Sus scrofa: one gene and its partners. The protein of the gene in region 2 interacts with the protein of the main gene of each other region in a pairwise test. Links are inferred from orthologs where the notes say so. Each region holds a gene or a part of one and is shown on either strand. Other genes may lie near its edges.

Evidence for each region.
Region 1: the proteins of RALGDS (region 2) and RAP1A interact in a two-hybrid assay, tested with the Homo sapiens proteins (3 studies listed by BioGRID and IntAct). The link is inferred for Sus scrofa from reciprocal best matches to the Homo sapiens genes RALGDS and RAP1A.
Region 3: the proteins of RALGDS (region 2) and RRAS2 interact in a two-hybrid assay, tested with the Homo sapiens proteins (2 studies listed by BioGRID and IntAct). The link is inferred for Sus scrofa from reciprocal best matches to the Homo sapiens genes RALGDS and RRAS2.
Region 4: the proteins of RALGDS (region 2) and RAP1B interact in binary tests that used the Homo sapiens proteins (3 or more experiments, as listed by UniProt). The link is inferred for Sus scrofa from reciprocal best matches to the Homo sapiens genes RALGDS and RAP1B.
Region 5: the proteins of RALGDS (region 2) and KRAS interact in a two-hybrid assay, tested with the Homo sapiens proteins (3 studies listed by BioGRID and IntAct). The link is inferred for Sus scrofa from reciprocal best matches to the Homo sapiens genes RALGDS and KRAS.

What each region holds. Positions count from the first base shown.
Region 1 is NC_010446.5:108,688,449-108,691,963, forward strand, and holds part of RAP1A (ras-related protein Rap-1A), read right to left. Parts: intron 2,717-3,515; coding exon 2,648-2,716; intron 580-2,647; coding exon 523-579; intron 1-522. UniProt on the Homo sapiens protein: Counteracts the mitogenic function of Ras, at least partly because it can interact with Ras GAPs and RAF in a competitive manner. Together with ITGB1BP1, regulates KRIT1 localization to microtubules and membranes.
Region 2 is NC_010443.5:272,789,980-272,793,494, forward strand, and holds part of RALGDS (ral guanine nucleotide dissociation stimulator), read right to left. Parts: intron 1,296-3,515; coding exon 1,185-1,295; intron 35-1,184; coding exon 1-34. UniProt on the Homo sapiens protein: Functions as a guanine nucleotide exchange factor (GEF) activating either RalA or RalB GTPases and plays an important role in intracellular transport. Interacts and acts as an effector molecule for R-Ras, H-Ras, K-Ras, and Rap.
Region 3 is NC_010444.4:44,888,826-44,892,945, forward strand, and holds the start of RRAS2 (ras-related protein R-Ras2), read left to right. Parts: upstream 1-1,310; 5' UTR 1,311-1,593; coding exon 1,594-1,701; intron 1,702-1,839; exon of another isoform or gene 1,840-2,119; intron 2,120-4,120. UniProt on the Homo sapiens protein: GTP-binding protein with GTPase activity, involved in the regulation of MAPK signaling pathway and thereby controlling multiple cellular processes. Regulates craniofacial development.
Region 4 is NC_010447.5:32,908,910-32,912,994, reverse strand, and holds the start of RAP1B (ras-related protein Rap-1b), read right to left. Parts: upstream 2,815-4,085; 5' UTR 2,598-2,814; intron 1-2,597. UniProt on the Homo sapiens protein: GTP-binding protein that possesses intrinsic GTPase activity. Contributes to the polarizing activity of KRIT1 and CDH5 in the establishment and maintenance of correct endothelial cell polarity and vascular lumen.
Region 5 is NC_010447.5:48,543,280-48,546,753, reverse strand, and holds the end of KRAS (GTPase KRas), read right to left. Parts: intron 1,847-3,474; coding exon 1,730-1,846; 3' UTR 514-1,729; downstream 1-513. UniProt on the Homo sapiens protein: Ras proteins bind GDP/GTP and possess intrinsic GTPase activity. Plays an important role in the regulation of cell proliferation.

The DNA of each region.
Region 1 (3,515 bases), on a different chromosome or scaffold from region 2:
CCAAGTGATTTATAATCACTATTGCATTTGATCACTACAAGCACCCTATAATGTACTAACGTCATTATACTCATTTAAGGATGTGAAAAATTAGGCTCAAAATAATCCTAAAGACTTTTGGTCAGAAATACATATCTGTCACCAGAGATGTTAAAATGCTAATAAACCTTGAGATGTTAAAAGTGCTACTAAACCAATTTTTAAAAAAATGAATGACCGTGATCTGAATTTAAAATGCCTTTTTTTTTCTTTTCTTAGAAAGCAGTAATAGCACAATTTTTACCTCAATACAGGGAAAAGAAATTCAACACACAGATTCTGCAGATGAGCTCAACATCTAACACTGATATGTGAGCATTAAGTACATCATAGATAGTGCCACCCACATAAGAAAATTTAAGAAGTCCTACACAGAGACCAAGTTCTTAATCAGAATAAATGCTTTTACTCAGAGGAACCGTTCAGGCGACAAAAACCTATTCACAAATTAAAATCGATCACAAAAAGAGAAAACATGCTTACCGTTCCCGCTGTATCCAGGATTTCGAGCATACACTGTTGGCAGTCTACTTCAACTTGCTGTTGGGGTAGGGTGCGGGGGTGGAGGGGGATGAAAAAGTAACATCAAAATGTCAGTCTGTTTTCCTCCCACTTCTTTGCTCAAAGTACCTATTAACAACTACAAAGCCTTTCTCTAGCAGTTTCCTGTATCGGTGGAGATCTAACTTGGTGCTACAATAAAGAACAGGAGGTCTCAAACACATTCTATTAATACTACAAAGCCAGGACTGCTGATGCTGAGTTTAGGCATTTTCTGACCACTATGAACACTGAGTACTGATTTGTGTTGTTATTAAAAGGCAACGGTCATACCCTGTAATTTAAGAAAAACTATAACCAACAGGTATAATTCTAACAGGGGAAAAATGGATAAAGTATGTATATTTATATTCTCTTCAAAACAAAGCACACAAGTACTAAATAGTTCAAAATATAGCCAAGACTGGGAGGGTAAAGAAAACTTTGCCAACTTACCACATTCAAGCTGTTAGAGTTTTACTAAACAATGCCCCAAATTTAACACACAGGAGCATTAATTTAAGAGTTAAAAGGGAACACAGAATAACACTGAACTCCTACAGCTCTCAAGACTTCTACGTCTTTGGAAAAACTGTGTGCATAAGGCAAACTTTTAGATACTGGGTTCTACTTTCCCAGTGTTGCACAGAAGAGAAGGTTGGCCTAAAGCAAGTATCAACTATTAACCGTGTGGACATTTTTTAATAAAGAAGGGATTTAGAAAAGTGTAAAATCTTTGACATTCAAGGTACAGATCTTTGTTTGCAGTTAATGCTTTAACCAGCAACTGATTTGGGGGAAATTTCAGTAATGCAACACTGTCTTCTAAAAATAGACATACTGACCTAAGGACTATTTTAAACTCTGCTTCTGTGTCACATCAGGGATTGATGAGGAGCACGATGGGTAGAGTCCCAAACTCCACTGTTCCATTGTTTACGGGACTAAAGTGATAATAATCTGCCCTCTCTGTGAATGCGTATGTTCAACGAATAATGAATTCACTCTGTGGTTTCTCAATGTACCACCATTTGGTTTCCAATTTACAGATAATGAAACTGCTATTCCGGTAGGCTTGAAGAATTTAATTCAACAGAAATTATAGCACTATTTAAGGTAAATTTTAACATCCAACAAAGCAATTCTTTCTCATTTGTTGGAAGGGAGGTTTAATCTTTTTTTTTTTTTTTTTCTTTAATGTATCGTTGGCTACTAGGCTTTCTTACAACACTGTCTCCCTCCCTACCGCTGCCCCCACCATACTTGGGAAATAAAGACTTGAAAATTCTCCACAATTCCAGCTAGTTTTCTAATTAAATAGAACAGTATTTTTTTGTCAAGACCAACTACTTAAATTTCTTTTCCTTTTAAACAAACTTTACTTTTTAGAAAGCAGTTTTAGGTTCACAGCAAAACAGCAGAAAAAGTAGAGTTCCCACATACCATTTTCCTGTTCCCCGCTAGCCTCCCCCACCATCGGCATCCTGCACCAAAGTGGTACATTTGTGAAAATCAGTGAACCTGCATTTGCACCATTATCATGCAAAGTCCATAGTCTGCAGTTTTACTCTTGATGTTGTACATGCTACAGGTTAAGACAAATGTATGAGGCCATGTATCTACACTAAATTATTACACAGACTCCAACTGTCTAATTTTTTATAGTCTAAAGGTGAAATATCTTTAAAGTTATTATATAATTAAACAAAAATAACTTTCAGTCACTGGATAACCTCAAGTATAAAGTGATCTTAATTTTAGTTCACACAAAGAGTCATCAAAAATATACCTACTATTTATATGCAATTTTTCTATATTAAAAAAAAAGGCCACCAAGAAAATGGGTATATTAAAGGACTGATTACATTAATCAGCGAGAGAATGTGGAGCTCTCTTTAGCTAAGCAATATTCTACGAAAAATACCACGTCTTGGTGAAACTTTTAAAAACAGATACAGAACATTGGGTCATTTCTCAGAACTATTTTTAAAAAAGCAATTCCAGGGATCAAGTTTTAAAGTCATAAGAAACTACTTGTAAGCATGAGCATACACGTTTCACATTTTACCTTTCTGTAGGAATCTTCTATCGTTGGGTCATATTTTTCCACAAAAATTCCCTGAACAAATTGAACGGTCTAAAAAAAAAAAAAGCAGACAAAAGTTAAGGACTTAAAAGAAAAATCAGCCCCTCTTAAATGTTACTTAACCTTGCAAAATCGCAACGATTAAATGAAATTATGTGAAAACTCTGGTAAAAATGCAAATTGTAAAGTATCATTATTTTTCAATATAAGGATACATTCATAATTAAGAGTATACTTAGGAAAGGAAGTGGTTGTGTTAAAAACTGTCAGCAATGCTGCTGCTGACATTACACTGTTAAAATAATTACTACATTAAGTTTCAAAGTACAATGAAGATACAAATAAGATACATATAAGGATATGGATTCTAATTTATTAAAATGTGAAAATTTATCAGTATTTAAAGTCTTATTACTCCTTTATGAATCTGTAGCAATTTTTATCTTATGCCCTCAAAGGAGAGACTGTAAATTTTAAACAGTCTTCAAACAGCCTTTCTAATTGTGGGGGAAAATCAAGTTTTTCTGATTTGCCAGCTGAAATTCAAAAGTATCCCTTCCTGATTTCAAACCCTTGTTCTTTTCATTGGAAGACACTATACACCCATCTTTTTCAGATCATCTACTTTTATCTCTTAAATTTCTATAAGACTAGATATTTTGTCATTCCGTAAATGAAAAGAAGGACAGAAGGTAGTTGCGAGATATTTCCTGAACAGCTGGCACATCACTGCCTAAAAGCAAGGGTAAAAATGTGGCCTGAGGTCATCCACACTACAATTAGCCAGAGGAATATAAATGCACTATTTTAGCTTGAGCTAAATAGATTAACCTGAAGATAGCAAGCTTTT
Region 2 (3,515 bases):
TCTCATACAGGTTCAGGGCCGACTCATTTTCACACTGGGGTGGGACAAAGCAGGACGGATGGTCAGGTCAGCGGCAGCACCTGGGCCACTGGGAGGGCGGGGGGCTGGAGCTCAGAGGATCTCCTGGGCTCGGTGACTTTGGGCTGGAGATGAGACACGAGGGGTCCCCTGAGCAGAAAAAGGTGCTCAGTATGAAAGCCAGGATTGCAGGAGGGGTGCAGACAAATCCTCCTTAGGTCATCTGATGAGCTGAGTAATGACAGCACCTGGTCACACCAAGAGTGTCACCCCCGCGAGCCCTGCCTGGCCGAACCTGCCCATTCTAGAGCTGAGACAACAGAGGCTCGCGCTGGGGTGGGAGGGAGCAGGATCCCAGGACGTGCAGGCTGTTCGGAGCAGCACTTTGGAAACGGCCACAGAAAGGAGCCAGGCCAAGGTCCCCAGCAGCAAAAGCTGACTCAGGGTGCTAACTGGCCTGCCTTCCGAAAAAACGTCGTGCACCTGCCAGGCCCTCTGCGCTGACCTGGAGGGAGGGGTCGGGCTGTGCTCCTTGAGAGCAAGTTGCCGAAGTCTGTGCAGAGCAGCCTGAGCTCTTTAAGGGTAACAAAAAGTCCTACTAAGTGTGGTGCTATAAGGCGTGGCAGAGGTGCAGGACAGACTGACGGCTACTCAGGACAGCAGAAGGCAGCCGTGTTAGACATACTGCAGCGGAGTTCCCGCTGTGGCACAATGGGTTAAGAATCTGCAGCAACTCGGGTCACTGCCGAGGCGCAGGTTCGATCTTGGGCCCAGGAGCTTCCATATGCTGTGTGCGGCTACAAGACTAAAAAAAAAAAAACCCCACGTATTCAGGCAAAACACATACGTAATCCTGGCCTAACATGAAATGAAAATAGTACGAAGGTGTCGTTATTTTTCTTTTGAGAGCAAACTCACTGCACAGAGGTCAGTGACCTGAGCCACTACGGTGACAACCCCCAGATCCTTTTACCACTAGGCCACCCGGGAACCCTGAAAGTGTCTGTTCTGATGTTCATGCAAATGTGTGGACGGCGCGCGTGCACTTGGCCCGGCCCAGGGCTGGGCAGTGGGAGCAGGGCTGGGGGCTCTCAGGCAGGAAAGCCTGGGAGGGAGTCGCCAGGGGTTCTGGGCACGGCGCTTTCCCGCCCCGCGTCCGCACTCACCCCGAGCCAGCGCTGGCCCTTGGTGGCTCCGTGGTGCACCTGGACCTTCCGCAGGGAGATGGAGTACACGACCCCGTTGACCAGCTCCTCGCCAATCTCCTGTGTGGAGCTCTGCAAGGACAGCGTCCAGCCGTTGGTAGGGGTGGCACGGCCTGGCCAACCGCGCTGCCGGCGGATGCCCCCGTGCCACCTTCTGTTCGCCAGATGAGGCGAAGATCAGTGGCCACAGAGCCCTCTGGTCCGGGACGAAATGGGGCGACAGCTAGGGGGCTGGGGCTTACTGTTGGGGCAGGCAGGCGCCGAGCCCCCACCCCCGCCCGCTGGGGCTGCGAGCGAGCAAGATGCACTCACGGGGGGTCCAACCCCACCACAGCCTGTTCCTGCCACCCCCCCAAGACAAGTCCTGCCATGTGGCCATTTCTCAGACAAACACACAGAGGCCGAGTGAAGAGCCCCCGCGCCAAAGCCCCAGCAGACCCGGGAGCCCAGGGCCTGACTCAGCCAACGGCACCTAGGCAGCTCCAGCCCCCCAAGGAGGGAGCCTGCCCACCCTCATTTGCCAGGCTATGCACCACAGCCGCCCTGGCCCTGGTGTCAGCCCCTTGGGTCTGGGGCAGGTGTGGGCATCCTCGACGGCCAAACCAAGGCTACTTCCTTCCCTTTCTGCTCATTCACGTGCGTGTGCTCTCTTGAGCAACAGAGGAATTCCCAGTTCCCTCTGTCATCACGTGCACGGGGACAGCACAAGGACAGCGGTGCTGCCATCTGGGCTAATGGCTGGGGTTCCACACGACCCCGAATCACGGGGGTCATCTGGCTGCTCCCTGGGCCCTGGGCAGAAAGGGGTCCCTAGGAGTAAAGATACAGACATTGAAAGTTTAGGGAGGAGGTGGGAACACCAGATGGCAGAGGGCCATCGGTCACATGGCCAGGGCCACTAGCTGGGACCACAGGTCACTGCCCAACTCAGGGTGGGCACAGAGCTCAGAGAAGCCCCAGCGAAAGAGCTGACTCATCCTGGGTCCCGCTGACAGCCCCTCCCTAAAGCCTTGGCCCAAGGTGGGCCCCTGAGTAGAACCAGGTGCCCAGGGTCTTGTGGGCTGTCCCCCCTGGGCCATCAGCACCCCTGGGGTCAGGGGCCGGGGGGCCTGGGCCTCTTACCTCCTGCCTCAAGGGTGCTGGGAGGGCTCTGGGAGGCCCGGGCCATCCTCCGGAAAGCCACTTCCTCTGACCTGAGGCCTCCCTCCCACCCTGGGCATCGTACCAACGGGAAAGCCGGTGCAATCACGCCAGGCTCCTGACCCTTCACCTCCTCCGCAGAGAAAGCCGGGCATTTCTGGGAAGCTAGCACGGAACCCGTGGGCAGAGCACCCCCGCAATGGGCCCCCCCCCCCCAGCGCACAACAGCCCACGCTGGGGGAGGTCCAACCCTCCCTTCGAGGAGGGGAAATTCCTCCTCCTGATGCAGGAAAACTCTAACAGATGCTCACTTTCTTCCCCGGCCTCACTCATCCCTCCCCTGCCTGGGAGAGGCGGCGGGGATGTCGGGAGCCTGCCGTCCACCTGCCAGACCAGGGCCCTGTCCCCCCACCCCCTGCATCTTCTCAGGGGTCCAGACCGCCTCCTGTGAAGGCTGCGGGCCCTCCTGGAAGGCCTGTCCTCTCCCGGGGATGCCGGGTACATCTGTCCAGCTGGAAGCCAGTGTCCTAAGCACCCAAGTCGCTGGCAGCGGTTTGGAGCGTTTGGCAGCAGGGGGCACTGGACATGAACCCCGTGGGAGCCCGCCCAGCACCTGGCTCCCAGCGGGGCTCCATCAAAGCCTGCTGGACAGAAGTGCCCCCCCGGCCCCCGGCCAGGCCAATGCACGGGGGCCTCGCCATCCCTAAGCGGGTTGAAATAGCGGCTCTGCAGTGAGCCATGGGCCTCGCTGGCAGCCAAGCAGCTGGCTGGCCCTGCCTGGGTGTCATGTGATCCCCGAGCCCTTCCCCCACCCCAAGGGGCCCCTTCTGCCAGCCGGGTGGGGGGCAGGGCAGGACGCTGAGAGCCACACATGCTGGGCCAGGGGAGTCAACGCCCTGTCACACAGATGGGGGCTCCTCCAGCCCCAAGGAGCTAACCCCGTCCTCCCCGGTCCCGTCACGGTCCCTTCACGGCGGCGGCAGCAGGAGGAACAAAACCAGACCGTCAGAGCAGCGCTGAGAGCAGGCGCCATTTAAACCAACTACAAGAGCCAAGAGCGGAGCGGGCTCCGAGAGAGCTGCCAGGTCCTGGGCACCAAGTGGCAGCGTGGGGCACTGCTCCCTGCTCCCACCGCTCTTCCAGGGACGGAGA
Region 3 (4,120 bases), on a different chromosome or scaffold from region 2:
ACCCAGACATTCTGTCCCCAGAGCTCACGGTCTCATCTATTACCTTATAATGTCTCTGTATACAGCTGGGATCCTTGTTACATTTGGTTAAACTGCCATACACATAGGTAATCACTTTTCATTTGCAAACACTTTTCATCTACAAGCACACTCCCCCAGCACAATCAAAATCATGTGACACAAGTCTAACCATTTCAGCTTTGACTTTTTTTTTTTTAGCTGCACTTGTGGCATGTTCCTGGGACCGAGAATGAGCCTCAGCCACAGCAGCAACCCAAGCCACTGCAGTGACAATGCCTTAACCTGCTGTATCACAAGGGAACAGCTCTGACTTTTGCATATGTGGTTTGCTTCCCCTGGAATACATTTCTTCCAGTGATTCATCTGTCTACATTATTTGTTCTTCAGGTCTTTTAGGAAGCCTTTGCTGACCACCCAACTCCAGAGTGAGTGCTTCTCCTCCAGAAGAGCATAGAAGCCACATGGTGCCTTTAGTTACAGCACTTATCATTATGCCTGACAATATGCCTGTTGTCCTGGCTGTTTCCCCACTGGACTCTTAGTTCCCTGAGGGCAGGGACATTATTTTGTTTATGAAAGGATTTGTAGCGCTAAGCACAGTGCCTGCAATGTAGTGTGAAAATATGTATAAACTAATCTCCCACACTCATCCCCTTGAATAAAATTACTGCATATTTCTCACATATAGACATAGCCAATAAGACACCCTCCCGTCAGATACAAAATGTGCCACATATACTCTTGTCCACGTGCCCTCAATCACTTGGTTCTGTCTCTGTGACATTCCTCATACAGGGTAACCACCACAAGCCTATCACACACACAATTATTGTGACAGCTCTAATCTTCAATCACTGTCATATACTGTTTTACATACAGTCATGGTCACCATCTGCACTCTCAAAACAGGATATTTGCCCTCCTACAAACTGAGTTAAGATGACAACAGCTTCATTTTTCACACACGCCTTTGCATACTGTATTTTTCATCCACACAATCCCTGACAAACACAATTATGGTTACGCACTGCTTACTGTTTTCTTCCCACTCCCGCTTGACGCCCACTTTTACACTCGTTCTCACACACCCATTCACTCACGCACGCACACGCGTGCACACGTCCACTCACAGTCAAGGGAATGGAAACACAAGTCTTCAGGGACCGAGCCCTCGGTCAGCTCCTGAATATCAGCCTAGGCCAGCGCAGCCCTGCCTCGCTCCGCCCCCTCATGCATATGCAGCACCTCAGCCTGGCGGCCCGGCCCCCAGACGGCCATTTGTAGCGGCGCTGGAGGCTGCGTTCGGCAGGCGCTGCAGAGACGTGTGGAGGAGCGCGCCCCCCGGACGCTGCGACCCTCGCCCCTGCGGTCACCCCGCTTCTCCGCGCCTCCTGCCGGACCTGGCCAGCCTGGGCGCCGCGCTGCCGCCCGGACCGGCCCTCCTGAAGCTCCCGGCGCCGGGGACCCTCGCCCGGCCGCTCGCCCGCAGCCCGCCGGCCGCACACGTCCCCGGAGCCGGGCCTAGGGCGGGCGGCGGCTCGGCGTGGCTGGGCTGGGTTCGGCGGCGTCCCCATGGCCGCGGCCGGCTGGCGGGACGGCTCTGGCCAAGAGAAGTACCGGCTCGTGGTGGTCGGTGGAGGCGGCGTGGGCAAGTCGGCGCTCACCATCCAGTTCATCCAGGTACCTGGAACGGGCCTGCCGGGGGCGCCGGGGCGGCGGCGGGCGGGGGCTTGCTCTACCTGTGGCGGGGCGGCAGCGGGGACCCCGCCCGGAGGCGCCGAGCGGGCTGGGGGCGGGCGGGCAGGGGGGCGCGGGGCCGGCTCTGCCTTTCTGCACTGCGGTCTGGGCGCCCGGCTCCTGCCTGCTGGGCGCCCTGCTTGGCGTCGGGGGAGTCGGGCTTCTCAGGAATGTGTCCGGGAGGGCGGAGCTGGGAGGGTAGCGCAGATCCACCTTATCGCTCCGGCGTGGCCCGAGCCCTTCGGGAGAGGTAGCGCCGTAGCACCGGGTTTCCTGCCCCGAAGTCGGGGCGCCGGGCTTAGGGCGTGGGGCTGGAGCCCCGCGCTCTGGGTTTCCAGCCGCCCCGGCCGCCTCCTGCACGGTGGGTGCGATCGCGGAGGCAACTTGGCTGCGGCTCCGCGTGGTGTTTGGGCTTCTCCGCGCACGCTGAGCGGGGGCTGCCCGCTTCTAGCCGAGTGTTTTCTCTTTGTGTGTTTGTGCATTTCTTTTAAGTAGTCTCTTAGGTAATGTGTCTGGGTGGGAGTGTGTAATAATGCCCCAGGGAAATGGTGGCCTCGAGGAAGTTAAGAATGTTCTCCGATAGGGCTGAGACCATTTCCTAGGAATTCCTGGTGCCTTCCTGCTTCTCGCTGTGCCAAGGTGAAGTTTAGGGTGGGCCAGGCTAGGAGATGACCGACCGACCGAGTCGCGTGTTCCGTGTCTGTTCCTATCGTTCTCTCCTCCACTCCCAACCCTCTCTGGTAGTTGGAGGCGGAAAGCCAGGGTTGTAAAGGAAGGGGAGATGGAATTCTTGATTCTTAGGCTTTGCTCTTGGTAGGAGGTTTGCGTGATCTCTTTTTGAGACTGGTAAAAAGAGAAACCTACATGTCTTTCTGCTTTTGTCAACCTGAAAGGTGTGGCATGTGCTGGGAGAGAATGAAAGTACTGCGTTATAACAGGTAACAAAGATACTCTCAATATATATGAAGAGTATTGTTAAGATGGTTTGATGAAATATTTGTTTTACCCATTGTTTTCAGTTGGGGTACCTGAATAGCTTATTTCGTTTCGCTTATATTGACATTAAAATACAAAGTACTGTAGCATAAATGTAGCATAAAACCTTTCACATTGACTAAATGAACAATAATTGCTGCTATACTATTTCAGGGTATTAAAAACTGCTGCTAAAACCTTTGTATCCCGGAAGAGGAGATGTTTATGTATAATGAACATTTACAGTATGCTCATTAGTGGGTTAAGAAAATCACACTAAGAGGTGAGATTGGTTTTAGTTTAGCAGGCTGACAGAATCAGGGATGCCGTCATGTTGCTATTTCCCCTAGGGCCAAGAGAGACTTTAACTGATAGCAAAGCAAAACAATTTATAGCTGATAGCAAAGCAAAAACAATTTATAGCTAACTCTTTCTTTGGGGACGTGTGGGATGTTGGTGAGGAGTGAGAGAATAATCCTGGGTTCCAGTATTAATAAAGAGTGTTAGCTAAAAGACTTCAACCACAAATATTTCTTGAGTTTTTTGGGGGGAGGGGCCATCTGAATGCATTTGAACCTGCAAGTTAATTATTAAGGTATTGAAGCCTTTTGTTTTTGGAAATATTATTAGAAACCATGAAAATAACTTCATTGCTAATGATTTTCTAGAATTCATTTGTTTTAAGAAACACCTCTTTTATGACTAGACATGTACTTAGATGATCTAAAAGAAGTAAAGGAGGCATGTATGCATGAGTCATGTACTTACAGCTAGAGAACATTGAACCTTAATTTTCTTTTCAGTGAAATGGGTCTGATCACACATTCTTCATAATCCTTTAAATTGCGGGAACTTCTTTAGTCTTGTATCTAGTATGTAGTATGTGCTCCATTAGCGGTGGCTGTATGTACACTTCTGTAACATAAATGCAAAGGATCTTCAGGATTGGGAAAAGTCAGTTTGGGAAGGATTGAGAAAAGTTTTGTGAAGACGAGATGGTGGAAAGAGGGGGCATGTCTTATATGAGTGGGAGTAGTGGGGGAGTAGTATGGCAGCTTGGAGAGAGGAGGCAGGAAAGGAGGGGTGTGGGATAGGCCAGTGAAAAGGTGGAACTGAGACCCTGACTTTGAGGAGGCTCTCTGGAGAGGTAGGAGCTAGACCTGGATCAACTCTCAGCTCTACCACGTGCTGCATGTGTCATCTTACCCAAATTAATCTCTCCCTACCTTAGTTTTGCCCATCTGTGAACTGGGAAAATACAAAGTACCACATACAGTTGTGAAAATTTAAATGAGTTAACATAGGTTCAGAGCCCAGAACAATGTCTAGTGCATAGTAAGGCTACAAACATTATTAATTGTTGTTACTATATTAATCTTAGCTTATG
Region 4 (4,085 bases), on a different chromosome or scaffold from region 2:
TAACACAGAAACATATTAAGTCTTTGGGAAAATGATACATGCATACCAGTAAGATCCTGATATTCAATAATAAAACTGCCTATTTACACTGATGAAAATAAAATGACACCTTTGCAAAATCAGCCAAGTTCTTTTTGTATCAGATCCAGTTTACCTACTTAATTTCACTTAACAAATGTTGATCAAATATCTACAACCAAAGTCAGAGAAAACTGAATACAGACAGCGTCTCATCCAAAACTTAAGACTATGTATTTGTGACAACATGTAAAATTAGTTACCATGTTATCAGTTTCTATACAGGCTTCTACCAATCATGAATACAAAGTTCTCTTCAAACATCATCTCTTTAAATGTTTGTTACAGGTAATCCCTAAATCTAAATGCTAAATACCAGGTGTACAGGCAAGGTTCTAGGAACTAAGATACAGTAGGGAATGAAATGGATCAAGACCCTACCCTCATGGCACTTACATTTAACAAACTGGTACTGTCTTAGTGCAAGGTACCACGTCAGTGTTTTGGAGCATACAAAGAACATATCCTGTCCACGGAATTTACAATTTAGAGGGATAACAAAAACACATAATAATAACAGAAGGTAGGAAGTGATACTTGTAGAAAGAGAGGGTGGTAGGGGGCAGAAAGATGAGCAATCATTTTCATGAATCCATACCATATTTAAAAGTTAATTCAGCTTATTACTGGGTTCTTCAGTTGTATTCTCATACCTGGCACATTAAAACCAAACTGGATACATGTGTTTCAAAGATTTACTTTTAGCCTTCTTCAGATAAGGCAGCCTCACAATTTATTATGAATGACAAAAAGAAAATGCAAGTGAAAACACTTTTTTTCGTAGTGCTGAGATCAAAAGCTTGGATGGGCTCAAATAAGACCAGCTATCATTCAGGGCTCTGTGTTCTCAAAATTATTTAATCATTCTGGGTATCAATTTCCTCTCTTAAAACCTGGTAATGAAACAACCAAATGGTCCTTCCACACTGTTTGACTAAGTAAGGTGCCCCTCTTTTTGGAGTATGATGGGACTACTATCCTCTGGAAAAGGTAATTCATATAAAAAATGTCATTTTTTTCCCTCCAAATTCTCTATAATGGACAGACTACAGTCCTAAAAGTCAGCAAGACCACTGACTAGTTACCTTATCTTTTCTAGGCCTCAGTTTCCTCCACTGTAAAATGAGAGGGTGGGACTGGATGATCTAAATAGTCTTTTCCGGCCTTAACTTACAAAGTCCCATGACTCCATTATGACTCAAATACTATTCAAGGATCAGCTTTTAGAAGCCAAAGGAGCTTGAAGTTAAATGAACATCTCCCTTTTTTATGTTACTTCTTGCTAAGATAAGGTTTGTCAAGTACAAGCAGCACTATAATTGCAAAAAAAGAGGGTTAAAAATGAAGTTACAAGTTGGGAACTTTAAGTTATGAGCACTTGTTCTGTATTAGATGTTATGCTACTAGCAAAACAAAAATCTAATCAGGCTGAATCAATTGAAAAATATTAAAATCACAATCTCCATTTAGTGTCAACTTCTACCCCATTAAAAACGAGATTTCCCCTTACAGTAACATAGAACTGCAGAACAAAAATGTTCTAAACTAATAAAAGGGGGTGGGGGAACAGGCAAAGGGGAAACGAATCGTCTGCTTAAATTCACCAAGGATGATCTTTTCTCTAAAAGCCATCGGTTTTTTTCGGAAGAAAAATTCAGATGGCCCGATTCTCTGGGAATAGTTTTAAAAGATTCATGGCGCTGACAGTTTTAGAATTAGACACATCGAGATGGCGAAAAAGAGGACAAACTTCCTGGATTTTCTCTCCCTCTGTAAGAGAAAGAGATTTCCTCTTGCTGACGAAGGGAAAGGCCCCTTTAACAGTTTTTCTCTACGCGGTGGCTGCTGCCAGACTAGGTGGGGCTCCCTCCGCTGCCTTCCTCCTGCCACTTCCCGCAACAAATGGAGCAAGCCAACCCCGTTTCAGGCAAACTTTTCCCCTGTCAAGCTCAAGCCCGCAGGGCGTCGGAGAGTGGTTTCCCCAGAACGCTCCTCACCCCTGCTCGGGACTAGGGGAAGCTGGGTCTTCGCAAAGGACAACTTTCTGGTTTCCGTTCTAACTTGCACTCACACCCGGGAAGGAACGGAGACGGCGAGCGAGGGGGCCAGGGGCGGGGGGACGAGTCTTCCGGGGAGCTGTACGGAACGGCGGGCAGTGGGAGAGGCTGCGGCGGCTGCGGGCAGGAGGGAGCAGGCGGGTGGGGGGGTCCTCGGGCTCTCACTTCCTCCGCCATATTTCAGACATTTGACCCCTTCCGCAAAGCGCGCTGATTCCCCGCGGCGGCCGCGGCGGCTGGTCCCCACCGGCCTGGGAGGCAGCGCCCTCACCCGCACGGCGCCGGGCCCTCGCACCACCTGCCGCGCGCCGAGGCTGCCATCGCCGCCGCCGCCCGGGCCCCCTGACCGCCGCGCGCGCCCCGCCCGGCCCGCGCCGCACCCCACCCGCTCCCCTTAGCCGGCGCCCGGCCCCCGCCTCGCGCTGCCGCTCCCCTCTGCAGCCACGCACGCACTATGCTAACCTCTCACGCTGTCACCGGGTCGCCGCAGCCAGCGTCGCCTCGCGTTCCCTCCGGGTCGCTGCTCCCGGCGCCACGGCGGTCCTGCTGCTGCCGCTGCCGCCGCCGCCGCTCCGGCTGGTTTACACGCCTGACTCTGGGCGAGGTTTGGCGGTGTCGCCTTGACGTCAGGCGTTCAGCCTCGCTCTCGCTTCCGTCCGCGGGCGGGGCGCGCGGGAGCGCGGCCCGGAAAGGGGCGGGGCCTAGGGCGGGGCGAGGGGAGCCGAGGGGCGGAGTCTTCCGCGGCGCCGCAGCGCAAACCGGACGCGCGCGGCGCCCTTCGCGGCATTTTCTCAGCGGCGTTTCTCTCTGTTCCGCACCGCCCCGTCGGCCTTGCTTTGGCTTCCTAGACCCTAGCGGGTTACGTTGCTGCGAGGGGCTTAGAAACCCTCCGAAACTCAAAAGGTGCATCTAAAGCAAACTGTAATCCAGTCGCCAACACTACCAGTTGGTGGTCGCTTATTCCTTTGTGCTGGGGAAAGTAGCTGGAAAAGTAGCAAGGAGCAGTTTCCACACCCAGAGGTCCGGTGAAGGCTCCTAGGCTAGGGCACAGTCTTTTTCATTCTTGAAATGGTTTCTCTTGAATTGTCAAGTATCTTTTCTACCGGTGTCTTAACCCAGGACAACTCTTTCCAAATTACCCTGCCAAACGGAGTTAACTAACCTATGAGGCCAAACAACTTTGTACTCTGTACCTAAATCAGCTATTTATCTGAGTTAAATAGCATAAATACATGACTCTGGCACTTTAAAGGGTTACCCACAGGTAGGTTTATGATGTATTTACTGGGCAACAGAAAGCACTTTCTGTTCCCAAAATGCCTTGTTCTAAAAAAGGCAGTAACTTAAGAGAATTTACCATTATTAGAGAAAAGGCTAAAATTAGAACTACCCTTTATAAAAGGTATTAGCTTTTTTATGAAACTAAGTTTTGAAGGGCAAAAAGATTCAGAGAGAGCAAAGTGCAGGGAAAAGTAGGGAGTGAGAGGGTCATTAAAGACTTTTGCTTAGTTCATAGTTTAACTGCCTTGTTATAAGGTATGGCCCTAAGAAGAAAAAAAAAATGCTAGTAATTGAAAACTAAGTTAAAGGAATAATTAAAAATGAATTATAATTATCCTAAGTTTTCTGTATGTAAGTGCTTTCTAGGTGTTTCACAATTTAGGTTAATTGAATATGTTACATATTTCGGTAATTTCTCTTTCCTTAGAAAAACTTTTTTCTTTTTTTTTTGTCTTTTTGCCTTTCCTAGGTCCACTCCTGCGACATACGGAGGGTCCCAGGCTAGCGGTCTAATCAGAGCTGTAGCCGCTGGCCCACACCAGAGCCACAGCAATGCCAGATCTGAGCCGCGTCTGCAACCTACAGCACAGCTCAGGGCAACGCCAGATCCCTAACCCACTGAGCAAGGCCAGGGACCAAACCTGCAACCTCATGGTTCCTAGTTGGATT
Region 5 (3,474 bases), on a different chromosome or scaffold from region 2:
TCTTGCACAATTTTGCCTAAGGCTGGCACTGAAGGTGATGACACAGGTGAAAAGTTACAGATTGTGCTGAGACTGACAAATAGGTATAGCCTTATGTAAAGTAAATGTAAATCACATAGTTGTAATGCTAGATACAGCCTTTGAGATGCCTTTTAAGCATGAAAAAATGGAGAGTAAGTGATTTGCCCCAAATTGTAAAAGACACAAAACTAGAATCTAAGTCACCTTCCTCCTTGTCCAGTGATATTTTCACCTCAACACAACCATCTCACTTCAAATATTTTAAAATAAGTTAACATGTTAAATGCACTGAAAGAATCATTTTGTTACCATTAATTATTATCTATTTTATAAGCATCAGGTATTCTTAAATATGGACCAGACTTGTAAAGTGTTTATGAAATGTTACTTTAGCCAGTGTTAAGAGAACTAGCCAATACTCAAGATTTTGAAACTTTTTCATTTCATTTAAAAAAAATTAAAATCTTGCTACCCCACCCTAAAATCTCATTAAAAATAATGTTTTTTTTTAAAGTTCTTTTTTTTTTTTTTTTTTTAATTTCAACAAAAGTGATGTTCCTGAGTAGGACTACCACATGGTGACAATGTACCTTGCTGAGCTAACCAAACTCTCTCCTAGTCGCCATTCCTGACCAGCCCAGGCATAACAACACTGGAGGATCACAGGAATGCAGTCCACCTGTGAAGCTCTCAGTGGCGCTCAAAGGTTCACACAAAGCCTGGCCTTTGTAACCTACTAAGCTAACTGGCCCAAATAATCTTTAACATCACTATCAGTAGAATTAAAACTACTTTCAAAGACTGAAGTTCAAGAAAAGATTTAAAGTTATGCTAAGAAAGAGCAATCTGACACAGGGAGACTATATTTAATTCCTATGAAAATTTTTTATACATGTTAAATTTTTTTCAATCATTACAAAAATTTAGTAGCATGTAAATATAGCCCCAAAATGGTTATTATAATCCTCATTACATACTGGGTCTTCCTTAACAGGAGAAGCTATTCAGAGTATTATAGGAATTTATCTAATGCAGAAAGTAAATGGCCTTTTAGTATTTTCCATTGCCTTGTATTTTTTTCCATTTTTTCCCTTTTTATAGAAAAAATATAATATTTTTGGAAACATGACCATGACAAATAGCAGTGGAAAGAAGAAAACCTTTGTGAACAGTGTAACCTTACATTCATACAAGGGTAACTGAAACTACAGGACATGATGCATACGAGATGAATCTATAGGAAGTCCATAAATTCGTGTTCCCTCAATGTTTCAATAAAACCAATCTTGAAATTCCAAGTGAAGTTATAATTAGTAATTGATCCATGTATGTGACCAGATAAAACATAGACTAGGGATGATTTGAAAGGTTCATTAATTTGTTTCACACTAAAGTCCACAATTGGTAAGAAAAATAGGAAGTAATTGACTGCATGCACCAAAAACCCCAAGACAGAAATCTCAGGTGTTCAGTTTCTTTTTCACAGGCATTGCTAGTTCAAAAACCAAAACTCAGGGAATACTGGCACTTAGAGGAAAAAAAGTTTCCACTGTCATTTTAAAATAAGCATTCAAGATAAAAGCTAACAGTATGGATGGAGCAGAAAGAAAATTAGGTAATGCTAAAACAAATGCTAATAATTTAGTGTAATGTACAAAAATTACCACTTTTACTTAAGTATGCCTTAAGAAAAAAGTACAAATTGTATTTACATAATTATACACTTTGTCTTTGACTTCTTTTTCTTCTTTTTACCATCTTTGCTCATCTTTTCTTTATGTTTTCGAATTTCTCGAACTAATGTATAGAAGGCATCGTCAACACCCTGAAACACAAAACAAGTATTAAAATGTGCATGTATGTGATAGTTTGAGGTATACAGATAACAGAAAGGATATATTACTAATAGAAACATTAATACTTGAAAAGAATAAGGATACTTAATATATCTCTTCAGGCAACTAAATATATATCAGACTTATAGGATTCTTAAATGTCTTCGTGGGTATTTTGTTAACATAAATGGGAACACTGATTTTCACAAAAGGCACTGAAAATTAATAGCACAGAATCTTACATATGCTTAACACATGACCTTTTCCCAGAATTTAATTTGTACCGATCTTTCCATACTGGCACACCTCATCACCAAAATTCAAATGTAATTGTGTATATGCGTGAATATGTATTTATACTTAATCATCCCTGAGTGTTTAGACATCTGATAGAAGCCATGCAGTATATACTGTTTTCACTGTGATATTTGAGCTCTTGGCTTAACACTTAAATCCATTAGATTTAAATAACTACCAAGAAGTAAACAGTAGCAGAATATACTTTCAGTTTTCAAATAATATTAAGGCATTAGTTTCAATTCATATACTTATGAGAAGGAAACTGAAAGTGACCACAACACAAGGCACACTACTTTGAAGAATGTAATACCTCGATTTGTGCATAAATAAGCTAAATCATTTAAATGGTGCTGTAGTCTGCTGATTTGGAGAAGATATTTTAAATATACTGGTTTTTAGTTTCTGTTTAAAGTTTGCCATTTAAGTCAAAACACTGTCTCTTCAGAGAAATTTCTACTTGGTCATTTTAGCCTATATCTATTTGTGATCAAAGCAAAGTAACCAAGTCAATAAAAGCTGAAAGTGATTTCAAGTCAGAATAATTTTCAACCTAATCATTCAAACAGAACATGAAAATTGGCACTCTGAAAATGGCAGCAGGACATAAGATTTTAACCCTGAAATACTGAATTACACAAGATCTATACAGAAGTCAATTCTTGTCATATCTCTATTAAAAAGCAAATTAAATATAAAAGTAAAAAATTAAAGAAAAAATACGATCATCTGTGTATTTTAAAATCCGTTCAACTGAGTGGTACTATCAAAAGAAGCCTGTTAACCTAATGTTTTCAAACCTAGACACTAGAGGGAGTCTTAGAAATAAATACACAACAAAGTTGTATAAATCAAGCCACTTTAAGAACAATGAAAACTGGGTTTTTATCCATTTTTTAACCTCTGTTAAATATTAATATAACCACACTTGTTATTATCTTGAGGGTAGTTTAAAATTTGAAAATTCAACAGCAATATGATTTCTCCTTCACTGTACTGCTAAGATCTTCTATAATTAATATTTCACAATAGTAGCAAAATTAATTCAGGCCATTTTCATTCAAGCAATTTAAGTTATTTTCACAACAGATCTAAAATTTAGAAAAGTATTGCCAATATTTTAAAAGAGTTAAACAGTGGGAATGAGAAGCTTGCTAACATTTAAACAACAGCAGTAGTAGGATAAAAACTAGCATTACTGGTCTAAATGCTAGTGGCTAAAAGTCCCCAGTAAAGCCCCCAAACTGCACTCACTGATGTTCCCACTTTGTGATATTACTGGTATAACATATGCTTCTGTTTCACCCAAATGAGAGAGGAA